3 linked regions of the Drosophila melanogaster genome follow. The protein of the gene in region 2 purifies or fractionates together with the protein of the main gene of each other region. This does not show direct contact. Each region holds a gene or a part of one and is shown on either strand. Other genes may lie near its edges.

Region 1 (6,909 bases), on a different chromosome or scaffold from region 2:
GTAAAATTCATTGAGATGCGATTAAAATAATGTCGACTGCAAGGTTATGGGGCGTGTTGCACCAAAGTGTTGCAAGTCAAAGCGGAAATTCGGCGGCCACGCCTTTTTGGCGGCCGGCGTGTTTGTCTCGATGTCGGATGGATGTGGCCCTCCTATCTGGCTTTAAACTAATGCCGGGGCAGTCTGTCGACAGGCAACCACCTTGCCACGCCCCACGCCTTGTAATGACGTTATTTACATGCTGCAACAACACTGGCAGCAAGCGCGGGCAATTAAATAAATCATAGCGGTTCACGCGGTTCGGCCGAAAGAAAGATCCAGTTAATCTAAAGAGAAACTCTTAGTTCTTTCTTTCGTTGTCAGAGTGAAATTGTAAATAAATTACACGTCCTGATTGATCAACTTTTTGTTCGTTACAAAACAACGTCGGGAATCAGATTGCAACTGTTATTAATTATGGGCTTTGTTGCAGTTGCAACCGCTTGTCTCCTGCTGTTCAGGTCTTCATCCTGGTCGGTAGGGCTTGGGCTTTACTTTTGGTTTGAGACTCGGATTGCTCACTGAATAAGTGACTTCTCTAGGACGCAACTCTGCGGCTTCTGGGGCCAACACTCACATGCGGGGGGAACATACTCCATCACAGTTGATGGCTGACATCGTACACAACAAATAAATCCCATATAAAACTTCCCTTTCCTTTTCTTTTCAGAGTTTGTAAAAATTTTCTACGATGAGTTCAAATAATGTAAATGAGTGCAAGAGCCTGTGGAATGGCATAATTTCCATTTCTGCAAAAGATGAAAGTCCTAAAGGTCTCACTGAAATGTGTAATCATCCAAAGAGGAGAGCACCGCCCAAATGTAAGCCAATGAAGTCCTGTGCAAAGCCGCGCCGAAAGGCAGCCTGTGCCAAGGCGACTCGGCCCAAGGTCAAGTGTGCACCGAGTCAGAAGTGCAGCAAGCAGGGACCTGTCACTAACAACGCCTATTTGAATTTCGTGCGTTTCTTCCGAAAGAAGCACTGTGACTTGAAGCCGCAGGAATTAATTGCAGAGGCCGCTAAAGCGTGGGCCGAGCTCCCGGAGCATAGAAAGGATAGATACCGCCGGATGGTACGTATTTTTTTTTTATATTATGAAGACTATTAATTTGTCCTTTCAGGCATGCAAGGTCACCACCAGTGAACGCCACAAGCGCCGACGGATTTGCAAGTAATACTGAGATAGGAAAAAGTCTGATGCAGTTAAGTCCAGGCATATATTTTCATTGATTTGATACCATTCGATGAATTTAGAAATAAAAAAAATTAAAAACCGGGTTTCATTTTTTTTACGATTCTAGGATGTTGGAATAGCGCGAATGGGTATTTGTGGTTGTTCCAGGTGCCCGGCGAAATTCAATTTATTATTCCACTATATGAGCTTTCTAATGAGCTGTGATCCAAAGAAATGAAACGGCTGAGTGGTAAATGGGCACGGCAATGGTGAATTCGAAGATATGGATAGGCTTCTGCTTCAAGCTTTTCCACAGTTCTCTGACCAGGCGTCTGTTGTGAGACAATCGAAATACCCAAAAATTGTTTCACATAATTTATGCCACCTATGAGGAAAACTTGCCACACTGCCACTGGCAAAGGGAAACATGGGGGCGTAACCACCTAACAGAAGGATGTTTCCCAGGATGCGTATCCGCCGGCGTCGTTTCGATCAAATCTAACTTTATTCCATATAGTTGGCGTAGGTTTTGCCGTATACCCCTTATACCGGGCAGTCGGTTTTTTTAAACATTAGTTGTAACTTGGTACACAAACAGTTCACAAGCAAAATTTTTCCAAAAGTCTTATTTTTATGCTCTTCTTAAAAATTAGTTGTGACAAAAATTTGGTTTAAAAAAAAAAACTTTATAAAGGTAAGTGAAATAAAACGAATTACAATTTATTTTTACAGAACAACATACCATACAAATTATTTTAAACGAAGCGCATAATTATTTTTTATTGGTATGCCAATCAGTTTCGATAAACTTCATTTGAAAAAATTTTACTTTCAAAAATTTCTTTTAAAGAAGCTTTTGTGAAATTCAGTTCTGTAAATGCATTGTGATGCGATTAAATTAATGTCGACTGTCGACGTGGCGTGTTTGCCTCGATATCGGATGGATGTGGCCCTCCTATCTGGCTTTAAACTAATGCCGGGGGTAGTCTGTCGACAGGCAACCACCTTGCCACGCCCCACGCCTTGTAATGACGTCATTTACATGCTGCAACAACACTGGCAGCAAGCGCGGGCAATTAAATAAATCATAGCGGTTCACGCGGTTCGGCCGAAAGAAAGATCGAGTTAATGTGAAGAGAAACTCTTAGTTCTTTCTTTCGTTGTCAGAGTGAAATTGTAAATAAATTACACGTCCTGATTGATCAACTTTTTGCTCGTTGACAACCATAAAAGGGCAGTAGACAGGGGGCACACTGTCATTGTGGCCGAAAATGTCCAGGCAGCCGCTCGTAAACATAAATCCAAGTGACGCTAATTGTTTGTTGCAATTACTGCTGCAGTTGTTGCCACCGTTCAGTTACGTGTGCAGCCAAATGGGGCAATGAGTGGGGTTTTGGGCTAAGGGGTGGTGAGTAGGGACTTGTGCTTGCATGCAAATTTTGTTGCATCTGCAGTTGCTGCTGCTTGTGCTGCTGCTTGTGCTGCTGTTGACGCTGCAGCAACGGCAAACAATTACTCAAACATTGTTGCATCTGCTGCTGATGTTGCTGGCACTCATCTCGTTGTGCGTGCTAAATGGCAACTACTCTGGCGGCTAATGATAATCACTCGACGCCCTCAGCTCCTGTCGGTTCCTACTTAGTTTTACCTGCCCTCGTTGGCTTTTAAATCTAGTTTAGCACTTAATCAATCAAGGCTTCCTTTCATTGAAGAAAAATAGCTTTGAAGATAACTTCCTCCCGGCGAAGCCCCAATAATATCCATTCAACTCGTGCTGTTTTTTTTTATATTGATCCACAAGATAATTTTAAGTTCGAAGAGCCAAAAGGAGCATATTGGGCCTTCAATGAAGCTCTCTAGCTAAAGCGAATTTTGTATTCCAACTGGGTGTTCAGTGGGGTTTGATAGACAATGCAGGCAGTGTGGTGCGATGGCACAGCTGGTCACAAATTGTAATTTGTACACATCCATAACGATTTCAAATTAATATTTCGAATTAATATTTGTCAAGCCCAAAATATCAGCTGTGGGTGGCAAATAAATTGCTCGGATTTGAGGAAACTTCAGTAATCTTGAATTATACAGATATTGGTTTAGCTTTTTTATCCTTGGAGAGTCCTTCTATTAATTATTTACCACTGCCCATTTGCTGTCGGGTACTAATTTTCATTACAAACTACTGTAGATTTCCATGACAATTATATAACCAGTTCTTAATACTCATTGGTCTTGGCTAAGAACCGCCACTTAGGCTCCCACACATGGTGACTAAACGTCGGTTGTCGGGAGGCAGCTTGCAACTGTTATTAATTATGGGCTTTGTTGCAGTTGCAACCGCTTGTCTCCTGCTGTTCAGATCTTCATCCTGGTCGGTAGGGCTTGGGCTTTACTTCTGGTTTGAGACTCGGGTTGCTCACTGATTAAGTGACTTCTCTAGGACGCAACTCTGCGGCTTCTGGGGCCAACACTCACATGCGGGGGGAACATACTCCATCACAGTTGATGGCTGACATCGTACACAACAAATAAATCCCATATAAAACTTCCCTTTCCTTTTCTTTTCAGAGTTTGTAAAAATTTTCTACGATGAGTTCAAATAATGTAAATGAGTGCAAGAGCCTGTGGAATGGCATAATTTCCATTTCTGCAAAAGATGAAAGTCCTAAAGGTCTCACTGAAATGTGTAATCATCCAATAAGGAGAGCACCTCAAAAATGTAAGCCAATGAAGTCCTGTGCAAAGCCGCGCCGAAAGGCAGCCTGTGCCAAGGCGACTCGGCCCAAGGTCAAGTGTGCACCGAGGCAGAAGTGCAGCAAGCAGGGACCTGTCACTAACAACGCCTATTTGAATTTTGTGCGTTCCTTCCGAAAGAAGCACTGTAACTTGAAACCGCGGGAATTAATTGCAAAGGCCGCTAAAGCGTGGGCCAGGCTCTCGGAGAATAGAAAGGATCGATACCGCCGGATGGTACGTATATTTTTTATGTTATGAAGACTATTCATTGGTGTCCTTTCAGGCATGCAAGGTCACCACCAGTGAACGCCACAAGCGCCGACGGATTTGCCAGCAATACTGAGATAGGAAAAAGTCTGATGCAGTTAAGTCCAGGCATATCCTTTCCTAACATTCGATGAATTTAGAAATAAAAACCAATTAAAAATCGTGTACTTTTTATTACGATTCTAGGATGTTGGAATAGCGCGAATGGGTATTTGTGGTTGTTTCCAGGTGCCCGTCGAATTTCAATTTATTATTCCACTATATGAGCTTTTGCATGAATAGATAATGAGCTGTGATCCGAGGAAATGGAACGGGAAAACTGCTAAGGCTGAGCGGTAAATGGGCACGGCATTGGGAATTCGAAGGTATAGGAGGAGTTGCGTGTGCTTCAAGCTTTCCAGAGTTCTCTGACCCGTCGTCTGTTCTGAGACAGCTAAATTGAATTATTAATAACACGCAGTGCCCGCAATGTTATGGATGCCATAAACCCGTTTCTGCAACTGTTCTGTGAGTAAATGTAATGCACATTGTGGTTTTGGGAAGACAACCTTGGGACAGTTGGCAAAAATAGCAAACGAAAAGGCGAATGGAACGGAACGGACTAATCGCAGCACTTACGACCATAATTTGTCAATTTTCGAAACAATTCCCAAGGCTCGCATAAATTGTCTGGTGGCCTCCTGTCTCCTTTTCCCTGTCGTTGGCTTTTGGCACCCATTACAGCTCATTTCTCTTACTCAGAGAAACATTGCGCAGTGAAAAATGAAAGTGAACCCGAAACAGTGACGAACTGAAGCGGTCTTGTTTCGAAAAAAAAGAGGAAATAAAAGGCATTTAAATGCCGTTGTGTGCATAAATTACTCAGGAGCTGACATTTTCCCACATAAATGTGTAAATGAGTCTCAGTTTTCGCCGTTTTATTTCAGCTCCGTTTGCAAATGAAATTGAAATGAATGCAGAAATGGAGTTAAAAGAGCTTGGCTTTTTCGGTTATAACTTGTTGCGCTTGCTGATTGAAAATGGGGCTGATATATGAATTTCAACGCTTGGCCTTATCTTATTTAAATTTGAAATTCTACACATTCAGTTTCATAAACTTTTATTAGCAATGAACATAATAACTGAAGTATATATAAAATTATATTAAAAAATATGTGCCACCAAGTAAAGTCCCCAATCGAATAAATATAATGGAGAATTACTAAAAGCTATGGCAAATAAAAATTCACTTAGCTAACAAGAAAAGAAAATCGAATCGAATCAAAAAAAAAAAAAAAAAAAAAAAACAACCGCCGTGGTCCTTTGTTTCTGGCCAAAAAGGAAATGTTCGGAAAATTACCGCTCCTTTGTGCATTTGGCCCAAAGATAACTGCCGGCCAAATGACACACATTAGGGCCAAGCCAAGGTAGTTTTTGTGGAAAGGAGGCTGATACGGCTTCTGTGTGCGAAATCAATTCAAGCTCGATTTACTTTGATGAAATGGTAAGTGTGTTCGGGCCATGCCAGACGTACGTGACAGTTATTCTTAAATGGCCCAAACGAACAAATTACTAAAAATAAAAGGTATAATGCAATGTGGAAGGTGTGGCCCGAGAGTGCGCAGCTCCCAATGTGAATTGTAGAATATTGATCCGAAAATCGTTCAATTAATAACGCAAATCCTTTATGGTCAGTTACCAGGGACAGCAGCCCGTTAATTAATGCACTTGTCTGTTCCATCCTCCAATCGCCTTATCTCATCCAGCACTTCCCTTCCCTCTGCCGACGATGATAAATGCTTAATTAAGTTTGCAACATTTAAAAAATGCCCGATTCGGTAGCCCTGGCAAAGGATTACATCATATTTAATCAGAGTCATTATTTATAATGATACCGCTTGCATGAGGCATTATAGCGACTGCTCGTGAAATATGCCACAAGTTATCAAAAGCCCGAAGTAAGCGCCATATCATATAAGCGTTAATAAGTGAATTCCATGAGAGCTCCGATGAGTGTCCTGGAAAGTTATTTCGTGGACATGAATAAATTGTGAAACACTCTCATTGTTTCTTATATTTTATTAATGAGGTTTCAAGATTTAATATTTTTTAATCACAGTGGGCCGCGTTGGTAATTTCGCAAATAATTCCTTATGTGACTCTGTGCTTTCTACAAGCTTACAGTCATCCTTTTCGGTAGAGTGGGCCAAAGTGCAGTTACCGCTCGAGTTGAAGTAAATTAATTAACAATGTTTATTGTTTGTATAATATGCGAATATTGCCTTGCATTGTCATTGTGTGGTTATTGTTTTCGTAACTCTTATTGCTGTTGCTGTAGTTGTTCAAAAGTTGTTGCAGTTGTCGCTGCAGTTTCTGATGTTTGTGGCCGCTTTGCTGACTGACAGTCAATTTGCAGCAGCACTTAAAATGTGCAGGAATGTTTTACATTATTTGCACAGGCTGGAAATTTAAATTAAATTATTATGCTTTGCTCTCTACTATTGCATTGTCTTGACTCTGATGTTCCATCTTCATCAGGCACTTTGGTCACTGGAATAATCTGTTAATTGGTAATTGTAAACCATTAGGTTTGTAGATACCTGCGGCCGAATACTCTTAATTGTAGGCATAATAATCGAGGCGATATTAATGGAAGATGTTAATGCATCTTGATAAATTGCGTGGCCATAGATCCTGAGAGTGGAAGAGATACAATT
Region 2 (7,008 bases):
CAAATTGCTACAAACATACATACATATGTACTATATTTTTCTCGTAAATAATTATTAATCGAATACTCATACGGTAGCGACTATAATTTACCTCCTCGATGTCGCTCAACTTTCGAATCAGCAGAGATCGCAGAACTAAATAACTAATGAAAGCAGCATTCAAGTAATAGCAACATTCGATCATATAGTACAGCATAGTGTTAACCGCATTATATCGAATAAACTTTTTCATATTTTCAATACTAAATGGAATAGAATGGAACGGAAATGGAATCAAACATAATTCATATTTTTCTAAAGCTCATACACCTCTTTGCTCCACACACACCCACATAACTCATAAAATCGCAAGTCGCACCACTACTAAAATTACTTTAATAGCAGTTAAAACATTTATAAGTGAAATCCATAAAGAGCTATAACAACGGTAATGTGAATTACTTCGAATCAAATGTCCAAGGACATTCAGACACACGATTTTTTGTGAGTGGCGAATACCAAACTTTGGGATTTTAAGAGGAGCTGGAGGAAAGACGAGATGGCCAGTGGAACCAAGAGTATAGGTTAGACAAAGTTTAGACATTGTATCTAATCTAATTTGTAGCCTAATTATAAATGCTTTGGTTGTCCCATGCAACAGATCAGATTTGTTTAACTATTTATATACTTACCTATATTAACGTATGTGGAAATATAATTCTCCTCAATTCTTGAGCTCCTTTCCTCTCTCTAATGACCACATGGATGAAGTGTAGCTAATGGCCCATGGAAAATTTTTAAAATGAGTTTGAGGCGAGCCACGGAAGCTAACTAAGCTCGAACATGATGAATGAATTTGAATCGTTGAATTAAAAATTTAAAATAATATATAAAACATAAAAATAATGATATAAAAAACTGAAGTAAACCAAAATGTTTGTATGTAAAAGAAACTCAAAACGTTAGAGATCATCTACAATTTAAATAAATATAAATAAAACCAAGCAAGTTTGTTGTTTCTGAATGAAAAGATAGACCCATCTACTGGGTCCGAAAATACATCACTGGCGACGGCAGTCCACGTAGTGACGAAGCGCGCTAGGACAGATTGCATGGCACGACTTTCAAACAATTTTAAGAATCAGGAGGAAAAGTGGTGAAAAAGTAAAGGGGAAAATTAAAAAATTTGGTGCCACTTATTAGTCACGGAAAAGTAAAAAATCTGTTTTCGTCGCAATTTTGCTTGAAAATATTTAGCTGTCTGGTAATAAATGTCTTTTCACAAAGTCCTTCCAAAAAATACGTCCCCGTGCAAATTCATGGAAACTTAACTTGGGACCAGGTAGAACAACCCTCTTGAAGCATTTTTAATTTGAGGATTTCGTGGTACAGTTGACCAGTACAGTCACATAACTTATCAGATGACTTTTGTCACAGGTAGAAGAATCGTGTATGTTGATATAGGAACTACTGAAACTGTACAAACTGCAAATTACTACTGCATTTTGACTGCAATTTTCGTTTTAAAGATCCCGAAGCCAAAGCAATACAATTACCTCTAAACCTTGTGTTGCGTTTTATTGTGGAATATATTAGGAAGAATTTTGGCTATTTTTTACAATTTTGTATGGGGTATCCCCAAAGATCCCAAAAATCTTAATCTTATGAACATAAATCTGTTAAGTCTAATCTATTGCATTGTCTACTCTAAAAGTTTCTTTTTTGATTTGGGCGTGGATATGGTTCGCAAGGACACGCGACGTGGCGTCTTGTTATTCGGCGTGGATGGCCCCGATTCAGTCGGATTTTTTGGCGTTTCCTCTTGCGTATCCTCGTAGACCAGACGAATGTCCTCAGTTCGCTCGCAGGTGGCCTCGCTGGCCTCTATTACCGCTGGTTTCGTTTCGGTCTTTACAGTCTCCGGCAAGGGTTTTCGAGAATCCTTCTTTGTCGCTGGCAGGGGTGTGATGCTCTCGTCGAGGGGCCAGGCATCCATGGCCTCCTCCATTGGGACCACAGGCGAGTTCACCGGCATTTCGATGAGTACGCGTGGAGTTCTCCTCACTGCAATGGGAGTAGCTTGCTTGGCGGGTTGGCTTTTCGGCGTTAGATTAAATTGGCTGGAGCTGCCAGGAGTTCGTGGCTGGCGACGCACTTGAATTGGTGTTGCGGGTCGGGACTTCTTCTCAGGCGATTCGAACTTATCATCAGAACTGATGATCTCCTTCTCGAACACCGGAATCACTGCAAGTGCCGGCTGTGATGTCTCTGCTGGAGGCACTGCCTCTGTGCTCACCTTGCGCTTGACAGGTGATGCCACTGTTTTCTGCACTTGAGTCGTTTTTGTGTGAGTAACTTCCATTTCGTCTTTGGGCTTGCTCGATTCGCTATTCCCCTTATCCTCGGGCTTACGCGGAGCTCTGCGTATAGCAATCGGCATGGGTGCAGTCGAATTTTTACGGGGCGAACGCCTGATGGCGATGGGAGTGGGTTTCTCCTCTTCGCTAGCTTTTGTTTTGGGACTGTTCGTTTTATTCGAACTGACACTGTGCGTTGATGAATCGTTTTCAGCATCCAACTCGGGTTCCCCTACCTCTGTGATACCTGCTTCGGACGCCCTTCTAATTGTATTTGGTTTCGATTTTTCCTGCAGTGGTTTCCGTGGTTCATCCAACGATACCTTGCGCAGCTTTTGCCTCTTCTTTTTCAACACCGTTGCATTCTCTGAAGATTTTAGAACAACGCTCAGCACTGTTTCCATATCTTCATAGCAGTCGCCCAGCTCGGTTGGCTCGAAGGTAATCAGTGAGCAGTAGCCATCGGTGCTGGACACGATCAGGACGGTGCCGTCGCTCGACCAGGCCAAATCCGTAAGCCTGCTATAGTGAATGTTGGACACAATGGCAAACGGCACCGGCTGCTGGGTGTCGTAGAAAAACACAGCGTTCTTTGTGGCCACAGCATAGATCATGCGGTACGGCAGCGAAATAATCGGAGGATTCTTCTCCGCATTGTACGGTCGCAGACGGTACAGTACCGGAGAGCAGCGAACAGCCACCGCATATTCCTTGGGAAAGGGCAGCACAAAGGCGGGTTTGGACAAATCATGGCGACTAAACCCATAGCTGGTGTTTATGGGTTTCACAACACCATCGTAGTCGGTAATTCCTGACGGCGTTAACAGCAGCTTACCATCGGGTGTGAAGCATAAGCGGCGAAAGAAGGTCTGCAAGGTTCCATCTTGGTACAATCGCATGCTCTTGCCGTGCATCTCGTGGTCCTCTTTTACTGGGAGTACACATTTGCTGACTCGGTGCAGAACTCGCTTGGTATTGGCATCAAATATCCGCATTTGTCTAAAAGAAATTTAACTCCATTCGATTAAAGTTCGAACATTTTGGACTGTACTGCTTACCTATCGGTGCTCATGGTGGCGATGTATTGATTGCAGGGATCCCATGCCACGCCCTGTACATAGCCCTTGTGGTCATCTAGAATAGCCAGTGATTTGCCACTGTGCACATCCCAGAGCATCGCTGTGTTATCCACGGATCCGCTGACCAGAAACTGTGAGTTCGGCGCCCAGCTGAGATCGTAGATATCCTCGCGATGGCCGCGCAGTACCTTGAGAGTCAACCAGACCTCCTTGTCCTGTTCACTGCAGCCATCGGCGTCCACAATGTTGACAACTTCGTGGTCGGCCTTCTGTTTCCATATAAAGACAACACTCTCGTCATCGCCGGATGCCAGCAGTTCTCCGTTCGGTGACCAGCGGACAGCGTTGACGGCACGCTGATGCCGGGACAGGTCGGCGGCCAGCTCCACATCCACGCCCTCGGCGTCATCACTTCGGTTAACATACCAAATGAGGACATGGGCATCCGAACCACCAGAGGCTAGGCGGCATATCGTCGGAGAACGCAGCCCCAGGCCATTTTGCTGTATATCCACACTCAGGACAGGATCGCGGTTGTGCCACGAAATCTCGGGTATCTTGCACTTCATCCTGTTTACTTAATGTGCCGCTGTTGATTAGTTGAAGTGCGAAGAGAAAAATCACTTTATGCGGCAGAATTCGCGCCTAAAAGTGTGACCTTCGGTCACGGGAATACCAAATAGTGCTGTTTTCGATTTCTGTTATCGTTAATGGACCGATTGCATATCGAAACGAGGGCTGCACAATCACTTTTAAAATGGTAAACAAAAGTTGGAATATCTGATTTCTTACAGTTTTAACCGATTTTGTTGTGTTGTTTGCAGTCTGTAACGCTGCACACCGACGTGGGTGACCTCAAAATAGAGCTCTTCTGCGATGCCTGCCCCAAGGCCTGCGAAAATTTCCTCGCCCTGTGTGCGAGCGACTATTACAGCGGCTGCGTCTTCATCCGAAACATCAAGGGATTTATTGTCCAAACTGGAGATCCTACGAACACCGGAAAGAATGGACAGTCCATTTGGGGCCAGAAGTTCGACGACGAATTCAAGGAGACCATTAAGGTGAGCCGGCTACCTAGGTTTTACCAGAAAAACCCTCATTCAGTTGCGCCATGACAGCTGGCTTTAATACCCAGCATTCCGGCTTTAAAGGGTATATTGTATCTAATCTTAGAATGTAACCAGCACATGAATCTCAAAATGTATGTTGACATCCATATCATTTTACATTTTAATATGTCATGTGGTTGGGTTCGTTTTTCAGTCTAAAAGATTCCCAAGATACAAGAAGAAATCCTTTAATTCTTGACCACTTAATTCTTCAGCACACTGATCGAGGAATGGTTTCCATGGCCAACAACGGACCGAACGCCAATGCCAGCCAGTTCTTCATTACCTATGCCGCCCAGCCAAATCTTGACTTGAAGTACACGCTCTTTGGCCGTGTGATCGATGGATTCGATGCCCTGGATGAACTGGAGAAACTGCCCGTCAATCCCAAGAACTATCGTCCCCATGTGGACAAGAAGATCAATGGAGTAACTATACATGCCAATCCTTTGGCGACGTGATAGAGATAGAGACAAAGGCCAATCGTACGCTTAAAATGAAATATATTTATAGCACTTAAGGTTACGCGATTTCTTCGATTACAGACTAATTGATTGAGAAACATCAAATATTGTGCAAAAGTATCTAAAGACTAAATCTTAAAACCAGCCAAGTCACAATTGTTTATAAAAAATTGCATTGTTTATGTATAACTCTCACGACGACTTTTGCACTTCATTTCGAACTAGACGGATGTATCAGATGTGTTTAAAACGACCAACTAGGGGGGTAAAAACAAATGCTAACAAGAATCTCGACTACATGGACTAAACGGGATTATGTGGATTTGCCGTTTGTGAGTGATTTGGCGGGCTTCGGATGGTCCTTCATGTGCTGCTCGAACATGCTGCGAATGTCTGACAGAGCCTGCGATATGTTCTGAGCGAAGCGGTGCACATCCTGTAAAGAAAACAATTCGATTAGCTGTGCTCCATGCCATGAATCAGGGCTCCTCATTACCGTTTGCTGGCACGTAGTCTTCGCTGAGATATGGAAGAATATCAGGTTCTCTCCGGCAATAATGTACGACACACCGTAACCATCATCGGCCACGGGCCCAAAGCCGCCTCCAGCGCTGATGCAGTTCGGATGCTTCTTCAGGTCCATCTTGGGCGTCTGGCCGTGCGGAGTCTGACTAGTAGAGAGGCGCCAGGGTTCGCTGAGCACCTCGTTGAGGAAGGGTGAATCCACCTCCAGGTACTTGGAGACCACATACAGGCAGAACAGATGCCTGTCGATGCCACGACCGCACATGGCATCCTGGTAGCCCAACTGGTGACGATCGCAGGCAGCCTGCATCATCTTCACACGCTCATCGTTCTGTACAGCATGGATATATGGATTAGCCTTTGATCTAATTACATAAAATTGTAAAATCTTACGGTTGTATTTGGGTTCTGCATGGCCTTGACCCAGGCGGATGACTCAATGGTGCACGGACGCACTGTCTCAGTTCTTCCTTCGCGGAACAGACGGGTCATTGAAGCCTCATATGTCAACGAGAAGCGACCGGCATCTCGGTAGTAGGCCAACTGCAGGGCCATTTGTATGTAGGCATCTGGTGAGATGCGGCACTTCTTCATAAAGCCCTTGCCGTAATCCTGGTGCACCAGGATGCGCAGATTGACCTCGTTGATAAGCTTCGTCACATCGATGGTGGCCTCTTCGATCTGCGCCAGGCATGGTTTAAGATCCCAAGTGAGCCTAGTGGGCGTGGGTGGCTGGAACGCCGGGGTGCCCTTTGTATTACCCGTTTCGTCATATCTACAGGGTTACCAAGGGAATAGGTTAGCATTGTGGGGAGACGGTTTGTGGGCAAATTTATGGCAAGCAACGTAAATCAAAGTATTGTTAATTTTGTGTAATTGTTGTTAGTCACGAAAACAAAATAAACTAAATGTTTACTTTTGGGTTGATTACAATTTGTAAATACAGTAAATAAAGACAGTAAGGAAAGTAAGGAAAAACAACTGAAATGGCCAACATAAGCTTATATAAAATATGCTGCGTACTGATCAAACTATTCCTCATGTAATAAATTAATAATCCCTTAAAACGTGTCTGGCATTCGCATACTAGATTTTGTATGTTTCAAGTTCGTTATGCTAGTATTTACTGTATGGCGAGATCATTAAAGCTTTTAGCGCCTAGTGATCTCTCGTACTCAACCCAAAAATGACTTGAATAACTTTGCTTTGTGCTTGTGTGCATTGTAGTTAAGTGTTTACCCATAAATATCATCACCAAATATATACTCCCACAGGTGTCCCAAAACCGGTGCATCGGCCCTATAAAAAAAGTGTAGATGGTGTAAATAAATTGTTAGGCCACAACCGGAGTTAATAAAAATAATAATAATTTTTGATTGGGACAATGGGTGATAGGTGATGATAACTAAACGCAGCCAACCGAAACCGAAAAATTGCAGGCGGTATAGGAATCGAAAATCATTACCCGTCCGATACAAGATCATCGACGATCAGG
Region 3 (5,742 bases), on a different chromosome or scaffold from region 2:
TGTGAACTGTTTGTGTACCAAGTTACAACTAATGTTTAAAAAAACCGACTGCCCGGTATAAGGGGTATACGGCAAAACCTACGCCAACTATATGGAATAAAGTTAGATTTGATCGAAACGACGCCGGCGGATACGCATCCTGGGAAACATCCTTCTGTTAGGTGGTTACGCCCCCATGTTTCCCTTTGCCAGTGGCAGTGTGGCAAGTTTTCCTCATAGGTGGCATAAATTATGTGAAACAATTTTTGGGTATTTCGATTGTCTCACAACAGACGCCTGGTCAGAGAACTGTGGAAAAGCTTGAAGCAGAAGCCTATCCATATCTTCGAATTCACCATTGCCGTGCCCATTTACCACTCAGCCGTTTCATTTCTTTGGATCACAGCTCATTAGAAAGCTCATATAGTGGAATAATAAATTGAATTTCGCCGGGCACCTGGAACAACCACAAATACCCATTCGCGCTATTCCAACATCCTAGAATCGTAAAAAAAATGAAACCCGGTTTTTAATTTTTTTTATTTCTAAATTCATCGAATGGTATCAAATCAATGAAAATATATGCCTGGACTTAACTGCATCAGACTTTTTCCTATCTCAGTATTACTTGCAAATCCGTCGGCGCTTGTGGCGTTCACTGGTGGTGACCTTGCATGCCTGAAAGGACAAATTAATAGTCTTCATAATATAAAAAAAAAATACGTACCATCCGGCGGTATCTATCCTTTCTATGCTCCGGGAGCTCGGCCCACGCTTTAGCGGCCTCTGCAATTAATTCCTGCGGCTTCAAGTCACAGTGCTTCTTTCGGAAGAAACGCACGAAATTCAAATAGGCGTTGTTAGTGACAGGTCCCTGCTTGCTGCACTTCTGACTCGGTGCACACTTGACCTTGGGCCGAGTCGCCTTGGCACAGGCTGCCTTTCGGCGCGGCTTTGCACAGGACTTCATTGGCTTACATTTGGGCGGTGCTCTCCTCTTTGGATGATTACACATTTCAGTGAGACCTTTAGGACTTTCATCTTTTGCAGAAATGGAAATTATGCCATTCCACAGGCTCTTGCACTCATTTACATTATTTGAACTCATCGTAGAAAATTTTTACAAACTCTGAAAAGAAAAGGAAAGGGAAGTTTTATATGGGATTTATTTGTTGTGTACGATGTCAGCCATCAACTGTGATGGAGTATGTTCCCCCCGCATGTGAGTGTTGGCCCCAGAAGCCGCAGAGTTGCGTCCTAGAGAAGTCACTTATTCAGTGAGCAATCCGAGTCTCAAACCAAAAGTAAAGCCCAAGCCCTACCGACCAGGATGAAGACCTGAACAGCAGGAGACAAGCGGTTGCAACTGCAACAAAGCCCATAATTAATAACAGTTGCAATCTGATTCCCGACGTTGTTTTGTAACGAACAAAAAGTTGATCAATCAGGACGTGTAATTTATTTACAATTTCACTCTGACAACGAAAGAAAGAACTAAGAGTTTCTCTTTAGATTAACTGGATCTTTCTTTCGGCCGAACCGCGTGAACCGCTATGATTTATTTAATTGCCCGCGCTTGCTGCCAGTGTTGTTGCAGCATGTAAATAACGTCATTACAAGGCGTGGGGCGTGGCAAGGTGGTTGCCTGTCGACAGACTGCCCCGGCATTAGTTTAAAGCCAGATAGGAGGGCCACATCCATCCGACATCGAGACAAACACGCCGGCCGCCAAAAAGGCGTGGCCGCCGAATTTCCGCTTTGACTTGCAACACTTTGGTGCAACACGCCCCATAACCTTGCAGTCGACATTATTTTAATCGCATCTCAATGAATTTTACAGAACTGAATTTCACAAAAGCTTCTTTAAAAGAGAATTATAAAAGTAAAATTTTTTTTCAAATGAAGTTTATCGAAACTGATTAGCATACCAATAGAAAGTAATTATGCGCTTCGTTTTAAACAATTGATTTGTTGGTATGTTATTTTGTAAAAATAAATCGTAATTCGTTTTATTTCACTTACCCTTATGAAGTTTTTTATAAAAACCAAATTTTTGTCACAACTAATTTTTAAGAAGATCATAAAAATAAGACTATAAATTTTTGGAAAAATTTTGCTTGTGAACTGTTTGTGTACCAAGTTACAACTAATGTTTAAAAAAACCGACTGCCCGGTATAAGGGGTATACGGCAAAACCTACGCCAACTATATGGAATAAAGTTAGATTTGATCGAAACGACGCCGGCGGATACGCATCCTGGGAAACATCCTTCTGTTAGGTGGTTACGCCCCCATGTTTCCATTTGCCAGTGGCAGTGTGGCAAGTTTTCCTCATAGGTGGCATAAATTATGTGAAACAATTTTTATACCCACTATTGCTCGTGCCAAACTCTATGCGGCTTATTAAAATTTCTAGCCGCCGGGCTAACAAACTCGGTGTGGCTAAGAAATTTTGGGCGAAACGTCTTGGGGATTCCGATTGTTTGGACATGTGTGAGGTTTTCTATTATCTGTAAAATGTTATGATTTATTATGTGCGGGCTCAAGTTGATGGTGCGGCCATAAATTGCGACCCTTTGGAGTCTTTGCCTTTGGCTTTGCCTCTGCCGTTGGCTTTGCCGCTTCCTTTTCCGTCGGTTCATCTTTGGTCTCTGCCTTTTCCAGCACCAGTTAAGTCAATTAATTGGCCTTAGATTTATTAGTTTTTACCCCGCTGTTCCTCGCGCCTTTAGCATAGGTGCCGTGATTTATTGTTGCAGGAATGCCAAAACAACAAAGGGAAATTCCTCGGCTTTGACTTTGGCACGCACACAGGGAGAGTAGACAAAGTCCAGGTGACTGAGGAGGTGTGGCATTTGCATATAAATAGATATGTCAGCTAAAATATGAACCACATGAGTCGGGTCCTGTGTACTATATTTTGTTACTTCCGCCTCGCGGCGAAAACGCTTCCATTGCGTGTCGCGATAAATACAAATTTCAAGTTCTCCGTTCTCATTTTCCATTAAATTAGCCTCAGTGTCAAATACTGACACCCAAACTGATGTACCCAGGGGCGGGTAGGACACTCATTGTAGCCTGATGCTACGCTACTGAATTATTAACTGGGTCAAAGTAAGGGCACACATAAAAGTATCAGTGTCCGCATCTTATGAAACAAACTGTCAAGAGGTTGACATTTAGCTCGCAATGATGGGGACATTCGGGTAGCGAAACAAGGCAATTATTTTTGTATTAAGATATTTTAGGGTAAACATTTTTAGAGTGGGCGTGGCAAAAAGTTTTTAAGTAGAAATGCATAAGACTAATAATAATATGAAATATATATATGTGTCTATGTCTCTAGAGCATGTACGTATGCATGTATCTCAACCTTCTAGCTTTTACAGTTCCTGAGACAGTCATGTCCAGTTCGACTCGGCAGTTGATCCTGATCAAGAATATATATACTTTATATGGTCGAAAGTGGTACCTATTTATAAAAATCAGCTTTAAATTTAAAAATCCAATCAATCACAGCAGCCCAAATAGCAATAAATAAGTCGCAAAACGTGAGCGACGGAAAACGAAATGATTTTCATCCAAATCATGTTGACAAATTTGGCTATAGGCCAAAGGGCATCACGTCATCACATGGGCTAAGTCCTCGAATCAAGTGCAAGGAGTCGCATATGTGAGTGCTCGCAATGACGCCCAGATTATCATCGCTGCTGGATGCTGTTTTCCTGCTCCCCGAATGCCCCGTTTGCCATCGGGTTGCCGGTGTAATAACTTAAAATCCCATAATAAAGCTACTTACTGCCTTCGTCGTTGGCGCTGTCCTCGTGGCTCTAACAATAACTATTTTTCTTTGGATTTGGCTGGCGATGTGGCTCGAATTGAGTTCCAGAGGCTTTCTGCCACCGCAAATGTGCAAGTCAAGTGCATACGTCACTGGTTCCATTCAGCAAAGCCATACCTAAGGTCTAAGTGCACAGCATCCATTTGGTCTTTTTTTTTTTGTCGTTGCCCTACTCTTGTTAGTTACTTTTCTGTCTATAAAAAATATCCTGCCGAGCGACTGGATTAAGATTGAATTTTTCTTGGTTTTGGTACTATTTTTTTTTACTTTTTATCAGTTTTCTTTGCCGAAGCAGAAATTTTTATCTGGTCGTCGTCAGGTGAAGAGTCGTTTAGATATCCCACACAAAAGGCTGCTAAAAATATTTTCATGTTGAAATAGAAATATTTTCCATTGAAAATGGAAACGATTTTGCCATTGTGTTTGGAATTATATGTGTGTGTATGTGTGTATGCAACCGGATGTTGTACAGTTATTGGAATGTCTCTTCATTTCCACTACCCATTCTCGAGAATCCCTAGAAACGGCATCGACAATAGACTATTAGTTGGCATTTTTCTAGTATTTTTGTCGTCCTCAAACTCCTTGTTGTAGTCGTCGACAGGAAATGGTAAACTGATTTCTCTTATTAATTTCAGTTGGCAATTTGTGCAGATAAATCAGCGCAGTTGTTAGTGCCACATTGGCATTTCGTTCCATCCTTCGTTCTTTTGTACCCAAAGCCAATTCAATTCCTCTGAAAAGTAAGCTAAGCAATTGCTCGCATATTTGTTAAGAATAAGCATTCCGGAATTTTTCAAGTAAATTAACCTTTGCCTGGCACTCGTCCAACTGGAGAAATGAATGGGGATATTGTTTGGGGGAGGGAGTCCCCATATTTAGCAGAATGCAATTGAAATTCTAAATGGAATTTTCAAGTAGTTGCATTTAACTGGCCAGGAAATTACTTGATGACTGATTTTATGCAATAGGCAGCTTTTGATATTTTGGCTTAATAGGGCTTAAATATGAAATCTTTATGCATATGTTTCATCATGGAATACGTTTTTAATCACGTGGCCCCCTGAAGTATGCAACGTTTTGCCGATTGCAACGGTATTTTTAATGGTTTCAATTAAGCCGAATGGCCGATTCGAGGAATTATAACAACATTAACAATAATAAAAGCAACGACGTGACTTTTGTGCAAATTGTTAACGTCGGTGCCCCCGCGACATTGTTGTTGTTGCTCCTGCTGTTGCGCTAAATATTTTAATTAAAGAAATAATTACATTAAATGCATTTCCTGCATAACACGCGGATCGCGCTGACAACGCCCACAAGCAGTTGGTATTTTTTAAAACTTCATTAAGCGAATTTATTGCAAGCAGGCATTGGCCATCGGACAGTTTCGAACAGAATGCAATTTAAATCCAACGCGCAACGCACACACACACACCCGAAATAAAAAAAATAAAAAAAAAATTCGAATAAAAGTGCTACAAATGAATGTGCAAGTGTCACTTTTGGGTCATCAATGAATTGCGCACCTTCGGCATTTTCCGCGCTTAATTATTTCAATAAAATCAGCATACGAAAATAATCATCAGAGAAACAGGCTTCGAACAAATTATAAGATTGAACTCGAAATGCGGTTAACACAATTATATTTTCAATTTGCTGTCGTACGAAGCGGGATAATCGTAGTGAAGACTATTTAAACTACGAGTAATTGCAAAATGCAGCGGGTTTATTTCTTTTGTTTATTTTTGTATAGGATACCCAGATAGCGCCAAATAGAAAAGATGTCTTATTACAATATGTATATACAATATCTGCAATCACATTTTCCAACCATGCTTCAAAATGAAAAAGGAGCCTAGACATTCGCTTAGATTCAAGATTGTTCAAATTTTGCCTCTGCTCCTTGTTGCTGTTGCTGG

What was found.
Region 1: the proteins of Caf1-105 (region 2) and ProtA purify together in Drosophila melanogaster (affinity purification with western blotting; one study listed by BioGRID). This does not show direct contact.
Region 3: the proteins of Caf1-105 (region 2) and ProtB purify together in Drosophila melanogaster (affinity purification with western blotting; one study listed by BioGRID). This does not show direct contact.

Annotation. Positions count from the first base shown.
Region 1 is NT_033779.5:14,876,509-14,883,417, reverse strand, and holds ProtA (protamine A), read left to right. Parts: upstream 1-1,765; 5' UTR 1,766-1,907; intron 1,908-3,778; 5' UTR 3,779-3,799; coding exon 3,800-4,180; intron 4,181-4,229; coding exon 4,230-4,289; 3' UTR 4,290-4,368; downstream 4,369-6,909. Other genes in the region: ProtB (protamine B), read left to right, coding at 731-1,111, 1,161-1,214.
Region 2 is NT_033778.4:10,464,462-10,471,469, forward strand, and holds Caf1-105 (chromatin assembly factor 1, p105 subunit), read right to left. Parts: upstream 4,080-7,008; 5' UTR 3,985-4,079; coding exon 3,395-3,984; intron 3,336-3,394; coding exon 1,682-3,335; 3' UTR 1,540-1,681; downstream 1-1,539. Other genes in the region: CG11777 (uncharacterized protein), read left to right, coding at 4,173-4,175, 4,240-4,476, 4,740-4,985; whd (withered), read right to left, coding at 5,302-5,424, 5,485-5,844, 5,907-6,288, 6,979-7,008.
Region 3 is NT_033779.5:14,881,601-14,887,342, forward strand, and holds ProtB (protamine B), read right to left. Parts: upstream 2,122-5,742; 5' UTR 2,002-2,121; intron 1,109-2,001; 5' UTR 1,088-1,108; coding exon 707-1,087; intron 658-706; coding exon 604-657; 3' UTR 501-603; downstream 1-500.